3 linked regions of the Saccharomyces cerevisiae S288C genome follow. The protein of the gene in region 3 binds, or shares a complex with, the protein of the main gene of each other region. Each region holds a gene or a part of one and is shown on either strand. Other genes may lie near its edges. A codon is read from its position in the direction of its gene.

The links.
Region 1: the proteins of CHS5 (region 3) and BCH1 are in contact, whole or in part, in a crystal structure (PDB 4Q66), measured with the Saccharomyces cerevisiae proteins. Residues at the interface, in NP_013434.1 of Saccharomyces cerevisiae: Ala15 (codon at 3,888), Ser16 (codon at 3,885), Gln59 (codon at 3,756), His62 (codon at 3,747), Phe63 (codon at 3,744), Lys64 (codon at 3,741), Ile66 (codon at 3,735), Gln67 (codon at 3,732), Ala68 (codon at 3,729), Lys69 (codon at 3,726), Ile70 (codon at 3,723), Leu71 (codon at 3,720), Lys73 (codon at 3,714), Tyr74 (codon at 3,711), Gly75 (codon at 3,708), Thr76 (codon at 3,705), His77 (codon at 3,702), Lys78 (codon at 3,699), Pro79 (codon at 3,696), Ser105 (codon at 3,618), Ala106 (codon at 3,615), Lys107 (codon at 3,612), Lys109 (codon at 3,606), Ser110 (codon at 3,603), Pro124 (codon at 3,561), Asn125 (codon at 3,558), Phe127 (codon at 3,552), Lys128 (codon at 3,549), Thr151 (codon at 3,480), Thr152 (codon at 3,477); in NP_013964.1 of Saccharomyces cerevisiae: Asp314 (codon at 2,159), Leu315 (codon at 2,156), Glu316 (codon at 2,153), Ile317 (codon at 2,150), Asp318 (codon at 2,147), Val320 (codon at 2,141), Asp321 (codon at 2,138), Asn324 (codon at 2,129), Leu327 (codon at 2,120), Asn328 (codon at 2,117), Lys348 (codon at 2,057), Leu352 (codon at 2,045), Gln355 (codon at 2,036), Leu359 (codon at 2,024), Lys363 (codon at 2,012), Asp365 (codon at 2,006), Leu368 (codon at 1,997), Glu371 (codon at 1,988), Val372 (codon at 1,985), Glu375 (codon at 1,976), Val505 (codon at 1,586), Lys533 (codon at 1,502), Arg534 (codon at 1,499), Leu535 (codon at 1,496), Arg626 (codon at 1,223), Arg627 (codon at 1,220), Ser629 (codon at 1,214), Val630 (codon at 1,211), Ser638 (codon at 1,187), Ile641 (codon at 1,178).
Region 2: the proteins of CHS5 (region 3) and CHS6 are in contact, whole or in part, in a crystal structure (PDB 4YG8), measured with the Saccharomyces cerevisiae proteins. Residues at the interface, in NP_013434.1 of Saccharomyces cerevisiae: Glu56 (codon at 3,765), Gln59 (codon at 3,756), Arg60 (codon at 3,753), Phe63 (codon at 3,744), Lys64 (codon at 3,741), Ile66 (codon at 3,735), Gln67 (codon at 3,732), Lys69 (codon at 3,726), Ile70 (codon at 3,723), Leu71 (codon at 3,720), Lys73 (codon at 3,714), Tyr74 (codon at 3,711), Gly75 (codon at 3,708), Thr76 (codon at 3,705), His77 (codon at 3,702); in NP_012436.1 of Saccharomyces cerevisiae: Glu301 (codon at 2,264), Leu302 (codon at 2,261), Ile305 (codon at 2,252), Thr306 (codon at 2,249), Asn309 (codon at 2,240), Leu312 (codon at 2,231), Asp313 (codon at 2,228), Leu316 (codon at 2,219), Asn320 (codon at 2,207), Met336 (codon at 2,159), Leu340 (codon at 2,147), Gln343 (codon at 2,138), Phe346 (codon at 2,129), Leu347 (codon at 2,126), Arg350 (codon at 2,117), Asp352 (codon at 2,111), Leu355 (codon at 2,102), Gly358 (codon at 2,093), Val359 (codon at 2,090), Thr362 (codon at 2,081), Glu365 (codon at 2,072).

The regions. Positions count from the first base shown.
Region 1 is NC_001145.3:740,921-746,846, reverse strand, and holds BCH1 (exomer complex subunit), read right to left. Parts: upstream 3,099-5,926; coding exon 924-3,098; downstream 1-923. Other genes in the region: DFG5 (putative mannan endo-1,6-alpha-mannosidase), read right to left, coding at 1-494; TAF9 (chromatin modification protein), read right to left, coding at 3,403-3,876; GTPase-activating protein RNA1, read left to right, coding at 4,112-5,335; RNH1 (RNA-DNA hybrid ribonuclease), read right to left, coding at 5,535-5,926. UniProt on the Saccharomyces cerevisiae protein: Member of the CHS5-ARF1P-binding proteins (CHAPS) which mediates export of specific cargo proteins, including chitin synthase CHS3.
Region 2 is NC_001142.9:236,616-242,577, reverse strand, and holds CHS6 (Chs6p), read right to left. Parts: upstream 3,165-5,962; coding exon 924-3,164; downstream 1-923. Other genes in the region: SAP185 (Sap185p), read right to left, coding at 1-496; 1-phosphatidylinositol 4-kinase LSB6, read right to left, coding at 3,492-5,315. UniProt on the Saccharomyces cerevisiae protein: Member of the CHS5-ARF1P-binding proteins (CHAPS) which mediates export of specific cargo proteins, including chitin synthase CHS3.
Region 3 is NC_001144.5:785,747-791,593, reverse strand, and holds CHS5 (Chs5p), read right to left. Parts: upstream 3,931-5,847; coding exon 1,915-3,930; downstream 1-1,914. Other genes in the region: MID2 (Mid2p), read right to left, coding at 1-918; JIP3 (Jip3p), read left to right, coding at 548-925; REC102 (Rec102p), read right to left, coding at 4,261-4,881, 4,979-5,152; nicotinamide-nucleotide adenylyltransferase NMA1, read right to left, coding at 5,476-5,847. UniProt on the Saccharomyces cerevisiae protein: Component of the CHS5/6 complex which mediates export of specific cargo proteins, including chitin synthase CHS3. Also involved in targeting FUS1 to sites of polarized growth.

The DNA.
Region 1 (5,926 bases), on a different chromosome or scaffold from region 3:
TCCCATCTTGAGTACATGGTGTTGAAAACAGCTTGTACCATTGCCAACCAACCTGGCTTGCCGTCACCGGGGTCTGTAAAATTTCTCTCGACAGCACCCATAACAGTAATACCCCAAATACCTTGGTCATCATTCCCCTCAACCATCGTTTGGTTGGACGGGATATAATCGTAATTGGAACCAGTTTGCGCTAATAGTGCATCGTATAGTAATTCTTGATATGTATCATTCTCACAAAGAAACCAATTTTCCAACATGCCACCAAATGCTTCCCCTGCATGCCACCAATAGTATGGTGACTGAAACATCCCAACGGTACCACCGTATCTAGTACCCTCATAGTAATCCAGCATACCACCTTGAATTAACGCTGTCGCATCACAAATTGACGTTTTGCTAGTAGTATCCAAATCCATGGCATGAGTGGCTTTAAAAAATGACAGAAACGTAAAGCATATCGATAAGATCATCTTCGCACTAATATTGACGATCATATCTGCGTTCTGGATATGATTTCGTTCTAATTTGTTCGTCCTATATAACAACCAAAAATTAATAAAGGTGATTCAAAATGAGATAAAGGACAATGTACACAGTCAATTACTTAATTAGATATTTGAGTAAAGCTGATCTTTTGGAGAAATGGGCTTTTCATTAATTTACATTCTATTTTTGGGTTATACTCAGTTTCGCTTTACGCGGATTACATTGTTTTTTTTTCGGGCGTGGCTCAGATTGTGAAAAAGAAATTAAACAATTTAAGATTACGGTTATCGCATTAGAGGCAGAATAACTTGAAAATGGGAAATTCCCCAAGAAGGTGACCTATACATGACAATGCCAGGATATCATACATAAAATACATAACCCGTTTCTTGTTAATTGATTTCTTTCACCTTTTTATTGATTGTATTCATCTTTTTCTAATTATCGAAAGTGTCATTCGTGAAATTCTTCAGAAAATTTAGAATGTTATCGTCAATCAATTGGGCTACTGGGTCAGAAAATCTAGAGGCAATTTCATTATGTACTTTAGTAATGCCCATATCTTGTACTGCAACACTCAGAGCATCTATTAATATTATTGAGAACTCGATGTACCAACGATGATTCCAGCAACAAATCTTGACTACTAGATCGATGATTGAGCTGTCGATGTCATTGATACTTGACAATATTTGAGAAGAGGTTAACTCGGAGTTTGCTGAGACTGAATCCCTCCTAATACGCTTATGCTCGTCAATGTAAAACTGTAATAGATTCTTTGCGCATACTGGAGAAAATCTTTGGGAAAGCCCAATTTGGAAAGCCTTCGCAGCTTCTGGAAGATGTCCCAGTCTTTTCGCACAAAGGCCGAATAATTCCCATTCAACAGTTAATTTGTGATATTTACTGTTTTGAGCATCAAAATACAATTGCTCTGATTGCCAATCGGTGTAAGTTTTCAAATCTTCGTATAGTAACATGAAGAGATTATCCAACCATCTTTCGCATAGCCTCTTTGATCTCATTTTGGATATATCATTACCGCGAACTTCTGCTTCATCAATGGAAGAAGTGGAGCCTTGGTACTCGTCTTCCATAACGAAAATTTTTGATCTATATTTCAACAGCTGCTCCCATCCTGTTATTTGGACAATTTCTGTCAATAATTTATAGGCTAGTTGGAAAGTAGACTTTAAACTTGACGCAGAGAGATTGACTAGGTTTGGATCTGCGGACTTTTGCTCCAACTGGACATCCATGGGGTTCAATGACGAAATCTCCTCAATTGAGGCATCCAATGGTAATGGCAGATGAAGATTTTCATCTGAAGTAATAGGCGCAATTCTTCTAAGAACGTATTTTTCCTTAACCTGTGACATGGGGCAGGCGTTTAACGATAGCAAGGCATTTGACATATCGTTTAGTTTAATGTATATTCTAGTCAATAAATACCAAGTTTTAAATTCGTTTGGTGCACAGTTAACAGCCTCCATGGCTACTTCCTTAGCAAGCTTGTAATCTCTCTTGACATCCAGTAAGAATTCACTTTGAATACTTAATAATTCGGATTTGAAGATTAGCTGGATATGGCTAGTCTTTGAATCGTCGGCTAAGAACGAAGAGGGGGAATTTAGTTGCTCGTTGATCAGGTCAACTGCATCTATCTCTAAATCGCACGCAAAATAAACACGAATTAATATTATTACTGCTTCTGGATGAATTTCTATTAACTTCTTGAGCATTTTACGACATGCTTCCAAACTCTTAGTTAACCTAACTATTTCCACTAAAGTTTCCACTAAATAATTATTGGTTAACGAGGGATTTAAAACGTGAGTAGGTGCATCTAAATAAACACCTTTTTCATAGACCAAGGGGAACAGTTTAATAAAGTTATTGGCAACATCTTCCAACTCACCCGAGGTAAATGGATTGAAAATTAGTGTTTCTACCAAATTCTGGGATTCTCCATCCGCACGATTATCTTTCATAATCATAATGTCACGTACAATACCACTCATAAACGTTTCCGCCCAAATCATGTTGACGTTTAAATCCTGTGAGTTGCGGCCAGATGACGCTTCTGCCACGGAGGGAAGTTGCGATTGTTCACCGTCGCTATTTATAATGTAGGTTTGCACAGTTCCTGGAATGTGAACTATAATGTTAACATCATATTTCCTAAACGCATTCCAAGAACTGATAGAAATCTTCGATACGTGAAAGTGCTTCTTCTTACCAAACCAAATTTGGGGCGTGTCTAAGAAAAGATCGGTTATCTTTTTGGCAAAGATTGTAATAGAAGTTGGATCCGAAGTATCGATACCCATACAGTAAAAGAAAGTGCCGATCTGCCCCTTTAATTTGTCATGGGAATGTAACTCCGTAACTATGGTCGTAGGATCTTGTCCATTGATGTTTGAAGTTGCTCCGTTATCGTTGGCGGAGGCAGTAGCAGTTGTTGTGCTCGAGGATGAAGGTAACGATTTGATCAAAGTAATTAAATCAGGCGGACCCAAGTCTTGGAATTGTCCCACTCTGGCTCTCCTCTGGTGTAGCGCATAGCCTATCACGTCTTCTTTCACTTCCGGTATGGAGGTTTGAGACAACATGGTTAGGACTTCAAGTTTTCAGTTTATCCTTTTCACGTTCTAAAAATCAATACAGCGCGGAAAGTGCTCTCAAGAAGATGAATTGAGATGTTTAAGGGTCCATTTGTTACTACATTATCGTGTAGATCTCATTTCTCTAACTTTCCATGTAGGAAAGGGCAGGCAGGAAAAAGAACATTAGAGAACATGATCACGATACACGACTAGCGCATTATTTAGTGTATATTACTCTATTATGCATTCTACATGACGCATCTTCCGGAAGAACTTGATTTAGTGTACTTATGATATATAAGCGGTGCATTCACATAGACTTTGGGTCCTCAAGGTCCCACTCCTTCGCTGTGAGACAATATTTTTCTGGGGGAAGCCTGACACCCCACGTACCCATCACTTGAGGTAATGCCTTCTTGTTTCTTTCCGCAGCTAACTGTAACATGAGCTCCTTAGGTGCCGTAGGCTTAAATTGGTATTGTGTTCTCGCTGCAATGGCAAGCCGTATGTCTTCTACTCCTAATCCACTGCCGGCAGAATTTCCACTGCCAGCGTAGTCGTTGTAAACCAACGCGTCCTTAAGGACTCCTTGTGTGTACCTATGTGCAAAATCCATCAATTGTAGCGGTACTTGGTCCTCATATTGATGAATCGACTGTGATGCGAGGAGCAGATGCAAAAGACGGACATCTCGTGGCGTTTCCTCTTGTGTTGAGTCCGGACCAACTTCTGATACTGAGCCCACTGAGTTTTTATTCAAAACATTCTTGCCTCCGCCGTTCATAATGGTCTGTGAAGTCCTCTAGTCTTTTCTTGTTGTCGTGTTGTTTCATAATGTCAAATTCTACTTTTGATTTAAAGCTCTTAGTTTGGTCATGGAATGCATGTCACTATGCACGTTGTGGGACAATTAATGGAAAAAAATTTATTAGGAAGATATTGATCAAAGGCATAATATCACGGTAAAAGGTGAATATAGGCCATTTTAACAGGCTGTCTTTCGAAACAGATTTTTAGCTATGGCTACCTTGCACTTCGTTCCTCAGCACGAGGAAGAACAAGTTTACTCCATCTCTGGGAAGGCACTCAAGTTAACAACCAGTGACGATATCAAACCATACCTGGAAGAATTGGCAGCTTTGAAAACCTGTACCAAATTAGACCTTTCAGGGAATACAATCGGTACTGAAGCTTCGGAAGCATTAGCTAAATGCATCGCTGAAAATACACAGGTCAGGGAATCTTTGGTTGAAGTAAATTTTGCTGACTTATACACTTCGAGGTTGGTTGACGAAGTCGTTGATTCGTTGAAGTTTTTATTGCCTGTTCTGTTGAAATGTCCTCACTTGGAGATTGTGAACCTTTCTGATAATGCGTTTGGGCTAAGAACAATCGAGTTACTAGAAGATTACATTGCACATGCCGTGAATATCAAACATTTGATCTTAAGTAACAATGGTATGGGCCCTTTTGCTGGTGAAAGGATTGGTAAGGCCCTATTTCATCTCGCTCAAAATAAGAAAGCTGCTTCCAAACCATTTTTGGAAACTTTTATCTGTGGTAGAAATAGATTAGAGAATGGATCCGCAGTCTACTTAGCTCTGGGTTTGAAAAGCCACTCCGAAGGTTTGAAAGTCGTAAAGCTGTACCAAAATGGTATTAGGCCTAAAGGTGTCGCCACGCTAATTCATTACGGTTTACAGTACTTGAAAAACTTGGAAATCTTGGATCTTCAAGACAATACTTTCACGAAACATGCTTCTTTGATCCTTGCTAAGGCCTTGCCTACATGGAAGGATAGTTTATTTGAATTGAATTTGAACGACTGTCTTTTGAAAACTGCTGGTTCAGATGAAGTCTTTAAAGTATTCACCGAAGTTAAATTCCCCAATTTGCATGTCTTGAAATTCGAATATAATGAAATGGCTCAAGAAACCATTGAAGTATCCTTCTTACCGGCTATGGAAAAGGGAAATTTACCTGAATTGGAAAAGCTAGAAATAAATGGTAACAGATTAGATGAAGATTCTGATGCTTTAGATTTGCTCCAAAGCAAATTTGATGATTTAGAGGTTGACGATTTTGAAGAGGTCGATAGTGAAGATGAGGAAGGCGAGGACGAGGAAGACGAGGACGAGGATGAAAAACTCGAAGAAATTGAAACGGAAAGGCTTGAAAAGGAACTGCTAGAAGTACAAGTAGATGATCTTGCTGAACGTTTAGCTGAAACTGAAATCAAATAGCTATGAATAAAAGTAAAAATAAACACAATCAACTGTGGACGAGGTTCAGGCAAATATCATGGTGACACGCTTATAGATAGTTATCGGGTAAGTTAAAAAACCAAATAGCTGATGTATGTATATGTATGCAAAAGATATAAAATATATATTTCTATTACAGGTACAACAGGTCCAGTAAGAAGCCAAGCAAAAAACAGCATTATCGTCTAGATGCTCCTTTCTTCGCCAGAAAATCTGCCATTTCATTTCCTGGATCACCATCGTGTCCTTTTACCCATTCAATCTGAAATTTACCATTATTTTTGAAGCACTCTTTATTCAACTCATAGTACTTTTTAACTTTAACGAACCTCTGCACCAAAGGAACAATTAAATCAGAATTAGGTAGCCCTTCAAGTTTTTTATTATCATACGTCATATACCTGTCATTTAATAATTTGGTTACGTACTCTGAATCAGTTTTGATTTGATAATTTACTTTTTCCTTTTCATTAGTTAACTTTTCCCAGATTTTCTTCAAAGCTTCTGATACTGCTTCGATTTCAGCTCTATTATTAGTTTGAGCTCCCGATAATAAGGGTTCTGAAATAT
Region 2 (5,962 bases), on a different chromosome or scaffold from region 3:
AAGTACCATCAATGTTTTTCTTATCTGCTTTAGCATTCTCAAAGTCCTCCGTTGTGTCCTTGTCTTCACCACGTACTAAATCTCTGTCTTCTGAAGTAACTCTATCAATATTGGACTCAAGTATGGTACTATTTCTGACATAATCTATCAATTTGGACAAAACTTCAGGGTACTTCAAGTACACTAGTAGCTTGAAGTTCGAGCACATCAGTTCTGTATATAACTCCTCATCATCTAAAAGATCATTCAGTAGAGACAGGTTTGGCTTATAAGCTTTGTAGTCTTCTTCTCTGTTAGGCAGCTCATATTCTTCTTCTTCGTCTTCTGATTTAAAAGAATTGCTTTCTAAACTTTCATCTGTGCTATTAGAGTCAATTTTCCCTGCTTCCGTACTAGTGGGCTTATCATCGATCTTAATGAAAGCCCTGTTCAACAGTTTAGCTAATGGAGACTGTGAACCAAAATCTTGTCCAAACTTCCAAAAGGACCCTGACATATTTTTTCCTAATTATTAAATGGGCAAAACGATAAACGCCACTATTCTTAAACACTAACTAAAACGAATTTTTCAGAATCTCTAATCAACTAAAATTAGCATGTATTACCTCAAGCTAAAAATATTTAAAGATCTTAGTAAAATATATCTTTTGCGTACCTTTCCCAAATACACAAGCTAAACTACCCTTATCAAGCAGATCTGGTGAAATTTTAAACAAAAATAGTCCCGTTCGATGACTTCGAGCGATGCCCAAGCTTTTCTCATTCTCTTCGGAGTGTTTTGGCGTTAGCCGTCAATCCCTCGCAAAAAAAATTTTCTTCCCAGTTCAAAATGTAAAAAAAAAAATAAAAGGTATACGGTTACCCTTACCCTCAGTCCATCCAACCGTAGTGGTTATATAATAATACTAAGAGCACCGTTTTGTTCAAGGTTGTACTGTGTGATCTAGGTCGGCTATCCACGCAAGCATGGCATCGATCATGACCATGATTTCGTCTCCTATGGAAGGTTGAAGAAGGATCTTATTACGCAGTATATGCGTCCCCAATTCGTTGCATAGCTTTTCTAGCAGTTGCAGATTAAATATCTGGCAATAATTATAATACCTGCAATCATATGATATTTTCTTAATTAATAAACTTATTATGGTATCTGTGTCTAGTAATGTAACCTCTTGAATATTTTTTGGAGGTTGCAGGTATATTTTTAGCAGCTGCTGGCAACTTACGGGGTCGAATCGAGCTACTATGCTTGTTCTTAGACAAGCTACGGCATCTTCCCAATGCCAGGTACGCAGCATGATCAAACCCAAAAGTTCCCACTCTAATCCGCTGTGTTTTTCATCTTTATTGCTTAGGCTAATCTTGCTCAATTTCAAGTCTTGATATAAATCTAAAAATAAATCATCTAGCCACCCTTCACAAAACCTTTTCTTTCGGGATTCCATCGGTATATGACCGTTTTCATCGATAATGTTGTTAGAAGCTTGATAGAATTCAGTTTCCATCATGAAAGCTTCTGTTCGGATGTTTAATAAGCCATTCCAACCAATTTTGTTCACAATTTCCATTAATAACCCATATATTTTACCACTAAACCATCCCAATTGTTTGCCGATCGTATTCCTTGCTATTAAATTGATATTTTTTATGTTTTTGACCTCTTGAGGGGAGACATAATTAATCAGATTCACAGATTGTGGACCACAAATCGGACCCAACTTTATCGCAATATCATCCCAGATTTCCTTTGTATAACCGATTTTTTTTTCGTTTATCATTGCGATTCTTCCAAAAATTTGCCGTTTTAACTCATCCTCTTTCCAATTCCTCAACGTTCCCGAGAGATTCGTGAATTCCATTGCAGTCAAGTCGTAGTGTTCGCGGGTACCATTCAATGGCTTTTTATAATAATTGGAGGTAAGAAACCTACTGTACATTGTTTCCAGGTGTCCATCATTTTTGCGCAAACGAGGCATTGAATTTATTGCGAAGAGAGCCTTTTCATACTCCTCTTTTTTGATGTGGCATCTCGCTAGGTTGTACCAAGATTCAAAAGAGTCTAAGGCTAGTTCGGTTGATGTGTTAGAGACGCCTAATGCTAGTTCGTAATCACCCCTGTTTAACAAAAAATTTGTTTGAATGTTCAGCAAGTCACTCATGCAATTCATTAATCGTGCTGAATCAGCATCGCGAGGCGGTAAATCATTTAGCAGAGATAAAAGGGGGTCGAGCGTCTCATTTAAAATAGTTATCATGTCTAACTCCTTTGTTTCTATGTGATCTAGAATTGTGATCATAGCCGTCTTGTAGTATATGTCATGGATTGGATCTTTCTTGGTAAGTCCTTTCAGGTAGTCGATTGTAAAATCCACTAGGCTTGGCGTGATTGCAATAAAACTTTTTAAACTATACATTAAATAGTTATTGACAATGGTGGCTTGCATACTCTTGGTAGAATCCCACCCGCAATTCAGTGACCGTGGTAAGAATCGGCAGAGTAATTCTATGATCTTTTTGCAAGAGGAGATAGTATCTTTTCCAACGTAGAATGGACACTCTACTAAACCGGGAGGTTTTAACTCTGGATTAGTATTTGTTATTATCGCTCGGATGACAGAACTTGCGAACGTTTCTTCCCACATTTTTTCTGTCATGGTCAGGTCAGTGGTTTCCTTGTTACAGTCAATTGCCGTTGTCTGGAAAGTATCGTCAGCATCGTATCTAATACGGATGTCTAGATTGCTGAAAAAATTAAAACAGCAATAAGTCAATATGATATTATTCGATATATTTTTGGAAATCCGCTTACTCGATTTTAGCACTTCAAGAAACTCTACGGGCATTGCAGGACCGGAAACTTCGATCCCTGTAACGTAGAAATATTCACCAAACTCTTCTTTTTCATGTTTGTTTAAGTAGGACATGTGAACAATCTCAATGGGACCTAGTCCAACATTGCCAGAAGAAATTAAATCCTTGATTAAATGCGTTCTATTGTGCAGACACTCACCAAACTGCCTTTCCATAATTCGTGGACAACTTTTAAATATGTCTCGATTGAGGAATTGATAACCCTTTTGTACTGAAGGTGAGTTCCCAGGTGTATAATCGCCACCAGGTATTTCATTTTGCTTTTTGGTTTCCGATGGCCAAAACAAATTCATAAGGGCAATAGATGTAATCCTTTTTTGCACCAACAGCTTAAGAAAGGTGTTTGCTTTTAATGTGAGTTAAGTAATGTAATGATTTGTTAAGATCCTCTATTCCTTTTTGAGTATCTATTTATTTTCCTAAATTCTTCAAGGCTATTTTTACCATGAATCCGCTAAGATCTGTTTGGGTTCCGATTTTTCGAAGACACACAAAAATAATAGCCGGTTGCTTTCTAACACTACAGAAAGAGGTTTTTTCGAAAGAGTCTATTTCCTATATGCTAAAGTAGAGTTATGATTTCTTTATATTGAGTATGTATTGAATTATTTTCCAAAAAATCAACACCAGGTGAATACGGGGGTGGAATTGACTATTTGTAGCCGCTCTGCTATCACTGTTTTATTAGCAAATGGGTGCAGAGTGGAATCATAGTATACAGGATTACTATTGCTTTGGTTATGTGCATGAAATGGAATTGTGCTTGGGGTGCTAGGGAGTACCATTGGTGAAGTGGAATATGATCCAATAGGTTCGTCTATGGCGTTTTTGAAAATAGAAACTGGAGGTGGGCAACAGGGAACTTGCATCTTCTCATCTATTACCTGGCACCTTGTCCTTCTAACCAATTCCAAGGGGCCTTGTCGTGGGTCTTTCAATGTTTCGACAACGTTGAACGCCTGTCCTTTTAATACTGCCCATTGCTTCTTCCACATTCGGACGTTAAAATCTTGGTCCCTGCTAAATAGGGCCAAGAATTCTTGGTACGACTCTTCCCACCAATTAGTGCTTGTCAATATCGGTAGGAAATGAGATCTCATTTGCTCAGAAAATGGTTTGGCTAGTAGTTGCAGAGGCAAATACAACCAGCCATATGGGTACAGACGCCACTCATCAGGATGCTTCCAGGGAAAGGACAACCCATTGTCGATGGCGGCTAACTTGAGTCTCCACTTATTGTTTGAAAGTTTGATTAGTTTCACCATCCAATTGTCTAGACCTCTATCTGTGTTTCTCATTATATAATCAAGGATAATTAGTTTTTCTAGTTCCAATCTGAACTGACTCAAACTTGATTCTGTCCATTCAAATTTCGAATTTTCTTCAGATTCCGTCGAAATTGGAGAGGAATTTATTTGCTTGGACGGTTCTGTCTCATCTGTTAGGTTCCTGGTTGTCTCTGGTTTATGATTGATATCTTCGCCGGATGACTTACGATGAAATGAATGTTTAACATCTGAATACATCCCAGGTAATGGGTATTTATGAAAGAACTCATCGGCGTTGATGTACTCCTTCAAAAAAAGTTGGAAAGAACCCAGCTTTTTTTGTTTCTTCTTCTGAAGGTTGTATCCCAATACCCATTTTTTTCTATTATCATAAAAATTAAAAGACTCTATAGATGCAGTATCTGTATAGGGTACTAGATGCGTTTCCAGTCGCCTATCCAACAAACTAGCCGCACTTTCACAGATGTACCCGAGGTTTGGAATCAGACAACTTCTGCCAAACAGACATGGGAAAAACGTGCGGTGTGCCCATTTGGTCCATTTGGGAGAAAATGGGCCATATGGTTCCTCATCCTTGGGCTTGAAGACCCCCACCGGAACGCTTTCGTCGGCCCGTGTTCCATACACAAAGTACGACCCACTTGAGCCAGTTTGGATTCTCTCGAGTTCGCGTCCAAATGTCTCTACAGCCTCAATACAGTCAGAAACCAAATGGTTGAAGTTTTCCCTCTGTTCTTGTTCTTCTTTTCTTCGGAGCTGCTCATATGCTAGGCCCTTGGTTGGATATGCATGCAGCGGACGAAATACCGAATATTGAATCTCATATTGACTTCCTTCTTCTTCTTGCCCTGACGCTTTGTCCTCTGCATTATGAAGCAGTCCAACGGCAGGATTGGACCCTGAAGTCTGATCAGGTCGCGGGCTCTCGGACGGTACGTTGACCAGAGATTGATAGGAAGGGTGGAATACCTGAGGGGCCTCCGCTATGTCTGAATTCTGTGCATTCGAACCGACCCCTGGAGAAGCGTGCGTTATCGGGTTCTTACTTTTACAGTGATCTTGCTCATCACGGAACTGTAACCAATCGTAGCTGTTCACAACTATCTTCTGGTGAGGATTTACGGTATGATCATGCTGGTAAGCTTCGTTACTCATGCTTTGGTTGGCTTCTTGAAAGTGTCTAGTTCACTTTATGCCCGGTTATAAACATAAACTTTCACAGGGTTCTCTTTGATCACCTCTTTGTTTAATCTTATGAATCCAAGGGATTTTATCGGTCAAAGGGGAAATCAATGCGAAAGACAGTAATGATGAGAGAAAAACTCTCCGTAACCACCAAGTTTGGTTCAGCGCGACGAGATTTTTATCGATTATCGAGAAAAATACCTGTATATCTACATTTCTATGTCAGTGATATATACTTCTTAGATAAGTTATGCCACCAGTGCATACGCTTACGCACACACACGTATTCTTGTGCACACGCCTGTTACTTCTTGCAGACATCAGACATACTATTGTAATTCAAAAAAAAAAAGCGAATCTTCCCATGCCTGTTGCTGCTCTTGAATGGCGACAGCCTATTGCCCCAGTGTTCCCTCAACAACCTTGGTAGTTGGAGCGCAATTAGCGTATCCTGTACCATACTAATTCTCTTCTGCCCAACGACGGCTGCCATTAGTCAGCATGGCGCGCACGTGACTACAACTGTGGCTGGAAACCTTTTCGTCCTCCCCGGTTTTTCAGTGAGCCGACTCTACTACAATGCTTTTTCATTTTTCACTCAGAAAAACCTGCAATTT
Region 3 (5,847 bases):
GTCTAAACCACCTGCGGACGATGCACTACCACCTAATGGTGAATCGGAGTGGTATTCATCACTAACTTTCTTACCCAAAAGCATATACCACCATTTCGTAAATTTGTTAGCTCTATATGCCGTAACGACCTTACCATCTGAGTCAATAAAGTCCGTCCTTGATGATTGGATACAAAACATGTAAATTAAAGCCAGTATCACCAGAATCAGTGGTACACCAATACCAACCACACAACCAATGACGATGTTTCTATTTTTTTTAGAAAGACCCGAACTTTTGGATTTATTGCTTGAATCAGCGGTTGCTGATGGTGTGTACGTAACGGTAGTATAATGATTTGAGAGAATCGTCTTACCGTTAATAATACTGGTGATAGTGCTTCCTTGATTATAGGCAGTAGTGGATGGTGTGGAGGAGGTTGAAGGTGCAGAAGTGATTGTTGATGGGGATGATGAAGAGGACGGCGTTGACGACAGTGAGGATGAAGATGATGTTGACGTTTGCGTAGAAGACGTCGATGATTCAGAAGTTGCGGATGTCGAAGAGATGGAAAAGGATGAGGAGGATGAAGAATCTGAAGAAGCAGAGGAAGAGCTGCTGGTGCTTGAATCTGATGAGAAACTGAATGATGTGAACGATATGGAGGCAATGCTGGTAGACGAACTCGTATGTGACACGAGGGACCTACTTGATGTCGATGAAGTAAGGGAAGATGAGTCAGCACTTGAGGAAGAAACCATACTGGATGACAAAATGGAACTTGAAGAACTAACTCTACTTACGGAAGAACGTGCAGTAGATACTGCTGAAGAATTCGAAGATGATGATTGCACGAAAAATTGTGCGCGTATCGTCGATATGCATGACAGTATTAAAAGTAATAAGCGGAAACTATTCTTGGTTGTGAAAGACAACATACTATGATTTGCGTATTTTATATGTCCAATCTTCAACGAAAGTAGCGAAATAATGGTACTATTTGTTCAACGAGAGTAAAAATATAGTATGTCTTTGAGGCAGAGGCGTCTTCGTGAATCTAGAATGTGTTTAGGGATAGTTGTATTCTTTTCTAGCCTACCTAAAACGCAAAGTCAGCTTTAAATTATTTTTCAAATTCGCAATATAAATGTATACCTTCCTTATAAGACTTATAACGGAAAATATGAAGAATCAGAAAAAAATGGTCCACTGTACTCGTAACTTAATTTGAAAGCCTTGAATGGTGAGTTTGGTAAGTAAATGAAACTAGAAAATAATATGGGGATGATCTGAAACCAACTTGGTTATTGGAAAGTTGTGCTAAACCAAACACAGGAAAAAAGAGTGTAAAAACTGGGGTGATGTCTTTATGTTCTTTATGACTTTGTTAATTTGCAGATTATGAAAGCAAAACGGCAAAAATAACGGGTAAAGATTGATTCAAATCTGAAACAGCAAATTCATTTACCATCCCATCTAACGGTGCTCCTTCTGAATGGCCCAATGCAAACTCCTACAAAAAAATTGCCATTTTTTTGCACAGACCACGCCGCTCAGCCTCGAGAAACATTCCTCGCGGCATTTCCGTGAGATCTCTCAATTAATTTCTTTTTTTAGATTTTTTTCCGTTTTCCGTTTGAATAATTTCGCGTTTTCGTAGAGCGCGACGGCCTATAAATAGACAGATTTTGAATTTCCTTTTCGGGCTTTTAAGATTCACTCCCCAATTTTTAATAACGGACATTTCGTGCTTGGCGGCTACTGAGTACCCCTCTCAAGAAAATGAAGTGATCGCCAAAGCAGTTATCATATTTGTAACTAGTTATACATGCTTACATATACACAGATATATAAAAAATAGATTATATTTGCTGAGGGATTCTCAGTCGAAAAAATAAACGTGCGTCGTGGAACTCATTGAAGGCATCCATTAATCATTTCTTTTTCCCTTTCTTCTTATTCTTCTTATTCTTCTTCTTATTACTGTTGCTGTTGCCAGTATTTTTTTTAGCTTCTTTAGTGGACAAAACGTCATCTGTATTTACTTCGGCTTCCGTTGTCTCTTGTTCTTCCGTGACGGCACTGCTTTCAAGAGAAGCAGAGGCCTCAGTTTTTTGGTGGGTAGTACTCTCACCAGAGGCAGCCTCCTTGGAAACGTTGTTGATATCGTCTTCTGCCTCTGAACCTTTTTCTTCTGGTTTTACATCTTCATTGGATGGCTCGACTGCAACACTTTCGGTAGCATCTTTAGGTTCGGCTTCAAGTTCTATATCTTCTTCTTGATGTCTTGGAGAGGCAATGTCGGTAGTAAACTCGTTGGTTTCTTGTACGGGTTCACCGGCATCCTCCACAGGTTCACTGGTATCTTCCACAGGTTCATTGGCATCCTCCACAGGTTTGTTGGAATCCTCCACAGGTTTGTTGGAATCCTCCACAGGTTTGTTGGAATCCTCCACAGGTTTGTTGGAATCCTTCACAGGTTTGTTGGAATCCTCCACAGGTTCATTGGAATCCTCCGCAGGTTCATTGGCATCTTCTATAGACTCATTTACTTCTGGAGTTTCAATTTCAGCTTCTGGACGTCCAAATTCCATTGCTGCATCATCTGCAGGTTCGTTATTTTCCCCTGCACTTTCTGTGGTTATGTTGTTTTCAGCTACTTCTTCAGTCTGTACAAATCCATTATCAGCTTGTTCGTTAGAATGTGTATCGGTATCCTCACTTTTCTGTCCCGTTGCTTCTTCATTTGGAGAACTTTCAGCCACAGCTTCATTCGGTTCTTCTACCACGGCTTCTGCGGAAGAGTCCGCTTTGTTTTCCTCTATATTGGGAGTACCAACAGGTTCGCTTTTCAAACTTCTTACGGAGGGGTTGACGGTTTCGATGGTGGTTTCATTCTCCAAAGCCGTCGAAGCATGCAATGGATCTTCTACAGGACTTACTGGGGCAGTTTCATGTCCACTCTTTTCTCCTTGTTCCTTAGCTTCTGAAGGATTACTCTCATTGTCATTAGGTGATGCAACCTGTTCGACATCTGTTGTGTCCTCGGGCATCTTATTTTCATCCGCTACTTCGGCTACCGGCTCATTCTCCTTTGAGTACGAAAGTTCTTCCTCATTAACTGGTGGGAATGTGTAGTTTTTCAGTATACTTTGATCTGCATCTAAGTAAAATCCTCTAACACCAACGATTCTTTTCTCAACCTCACAAGCTCTCACCCATTCCGGTCTGACAATTGGTATGTTGTTATGTTTTGCCCTTATAAGCTCTTCATTGCTTTCTTCATTGTCTAGATCGTTACAGACAAAATGCGTAGTATCTATCGCAACATGACGTTGTAAAGGTCTCGCCCCGATGTGAGACAAACATTGGGATATCTGTAAGTCTGAAATTTCTTTCAATGGATCCAATGGACCCAAACATACAGTGATACCAGACATGTCAGTCATCTTATGTGTACGCAATATAACCTTTTCAGACCATAATGTTCCTGACGTGGTTATCAGTTTCAATTGAAATTCGTATGGCGTATCAACGGAAAGACCGGATATTTTCGTGGTAGTCACTTTGAATGGATTTGGAATTACCATTGAACGTATTCCCTTCCTATAAAGGATCAGTGATTTCAATTTTGCTGAGCCAAGTTTCAATGGATCCCATGCTAGAACACAGCTCGTTTGCGTAACGTTAACAATTTTCAAAACTGGGCTCTCCGGTTTATGGGTACCATACTTCTCCAAAATTTTGGCTTGTATACTCTTAAAATGATTCCTTTGTTTTTTTTCCTCCTCTAAATTTTGTGAAACTTGCATTTTTATGATAGATCCAGCTTTAACATTTTCTGGTAATAATACTGTAGGAAACTCAATAACATGATGATCCTGAGTAGTCAGTAACGCCAATGAGGCATCCAACTTACCTACTGTTAACAGTACATCAACTGAAGACATTATTCGCTACTCGACCAGGTTCTAAAACGGAAACGTAACATGCAAGCTAAACCGCGATAACATTTAGCATCTACGCAATAAATAATGAGGCTTTAGAAAGGAGAACTTGAAGGGCCGACCGAACTTGTTAAAAAAGAAGTGCAGCTACATAATTTCCGTCTTAAGTGACATCTTTTTAGTGGTCGACTCGAGGCTACTGGAAGCAATAAGATAAGGATATGGCAATAGCTTATAAACGGTATCATATGAACATAAAGCGCATTGCATAACTATTGTTAACTAAAATTTTAATTGCCCAAAAGTATTTGATTAAATTATATTTTATGCATGCTACTTATTGTACGTTACAGCCGGTAAGGAAAAAATTTGAAAATTCTGAATTGGAGGACCTCTTCTTCGACACAGAATTTGATACGCGGTTGTTGAAGATTTGTCTTGGGCAATCATGTTAAGCATTATTGGAAGAAGTACTGAATTGCTCGTTAGGGCGTAGGATATCGGAGCGAGCGAACTTTGTTGCCACTTCAATCGGAGCCTTGAAATCATGGAGAAGACCATCGGGTATTCAAATTCCAATTGAGACACTATTAAAGAGGAAAAATATTCATTAAAATGAGGAATAACCTGGCTTATTTCGACATAGTTTCCCTCTTTAGAAAAAAAATTGACAGTTGTTGATAACTCGGAAAGGTAATAGATTTCAGGATATCCTTTGGCATGCGTATGAAGCTCTCTGGGTTTGCTTATGAACGTACTTATCTGAGCATCCGTTAAAATTGTACATTTTAAACTGAGAATGACGTGGTTTTCTATGGTGCTTACATCTTGAACTTGATAAAACAGTTGTTCCTCCCAAAAGCGAATACTTGAACCTACAATCTCGCGCAATTTTGTAAACAACTCTTGCTCTTCCGTAACTAATCGATCGTTCATTTTAAAATTCAGTTTAATCTTCACTTTTCCTGGTACGAGTGACAAAGCTACCAGTTATTATAGTTAGTAACGCTTCATTCACGGATGGGTTTTAATTTTGCTAGGAGAAACATACTTTCAACATTCCAGGTGGTAGCAGTGGAATATATAATGAATTAGAGTCGGTTGATTCCGGTCCCTCAATGCGTACGGTTGAAGTCCAAGCAGATAACAATTTTCCTGCCTCATCATTATTTACAGCGCCACAACTTTCTAAAAATACGGTCAAAAATGTGATATCTCTTGCCATTAGATTAAATTTTGAAATGTTGGAATCCAATGGTGAACTAACGTGCTGTTGCGCTTATTTCTTACTGTTTGTTTTCCTTCCATTTTTTATATTTGGTATAACCGCTGAAGGTTATAGAAATTAGCTCTTTAAGAGAAAAAGGCGAAAAAATTAGTGTAAAAGTGAATTATACTACAGAAAAAAAAACTATACTAAAACACAGATAGGTAAGTCATATGTCACATTTCTACTCGCTTGTACCCTCCAATTAATTCCTGTAGGGGAAAATTGGAAATTGTAAAGAGAAAGATGAAAGAAAGAACGAAGCAATTCCGGACGGCAAATCATTCTTTGTTTCCAAGAACTTGCTTAACAGGTTCGGTTTGGTCCACATATAGTCTATGTTCTTGGATATACCTGATGACCGAATTAGGTAACAAATATTGTACAGACATGGCGCGTCTGATAAATAGACGAACTTTCGTGGAAGAAATATCATTATAGATGAGTTGCTTGATGATAAGAATATTCCTTCTATGTTCATACATAATATCATGGGATAACAAAAAAGACCTTACATCAGAACCAGTACGTTCGACAATCAAACAACCGTAATTACCGAGAATGTGATGTAAATCGGCGTCCGCCCAAACGTTTGGTTCACCCATTGACTCTATTAGGTCACCACCAGCCAGCAACATTATTTTCACACCAAT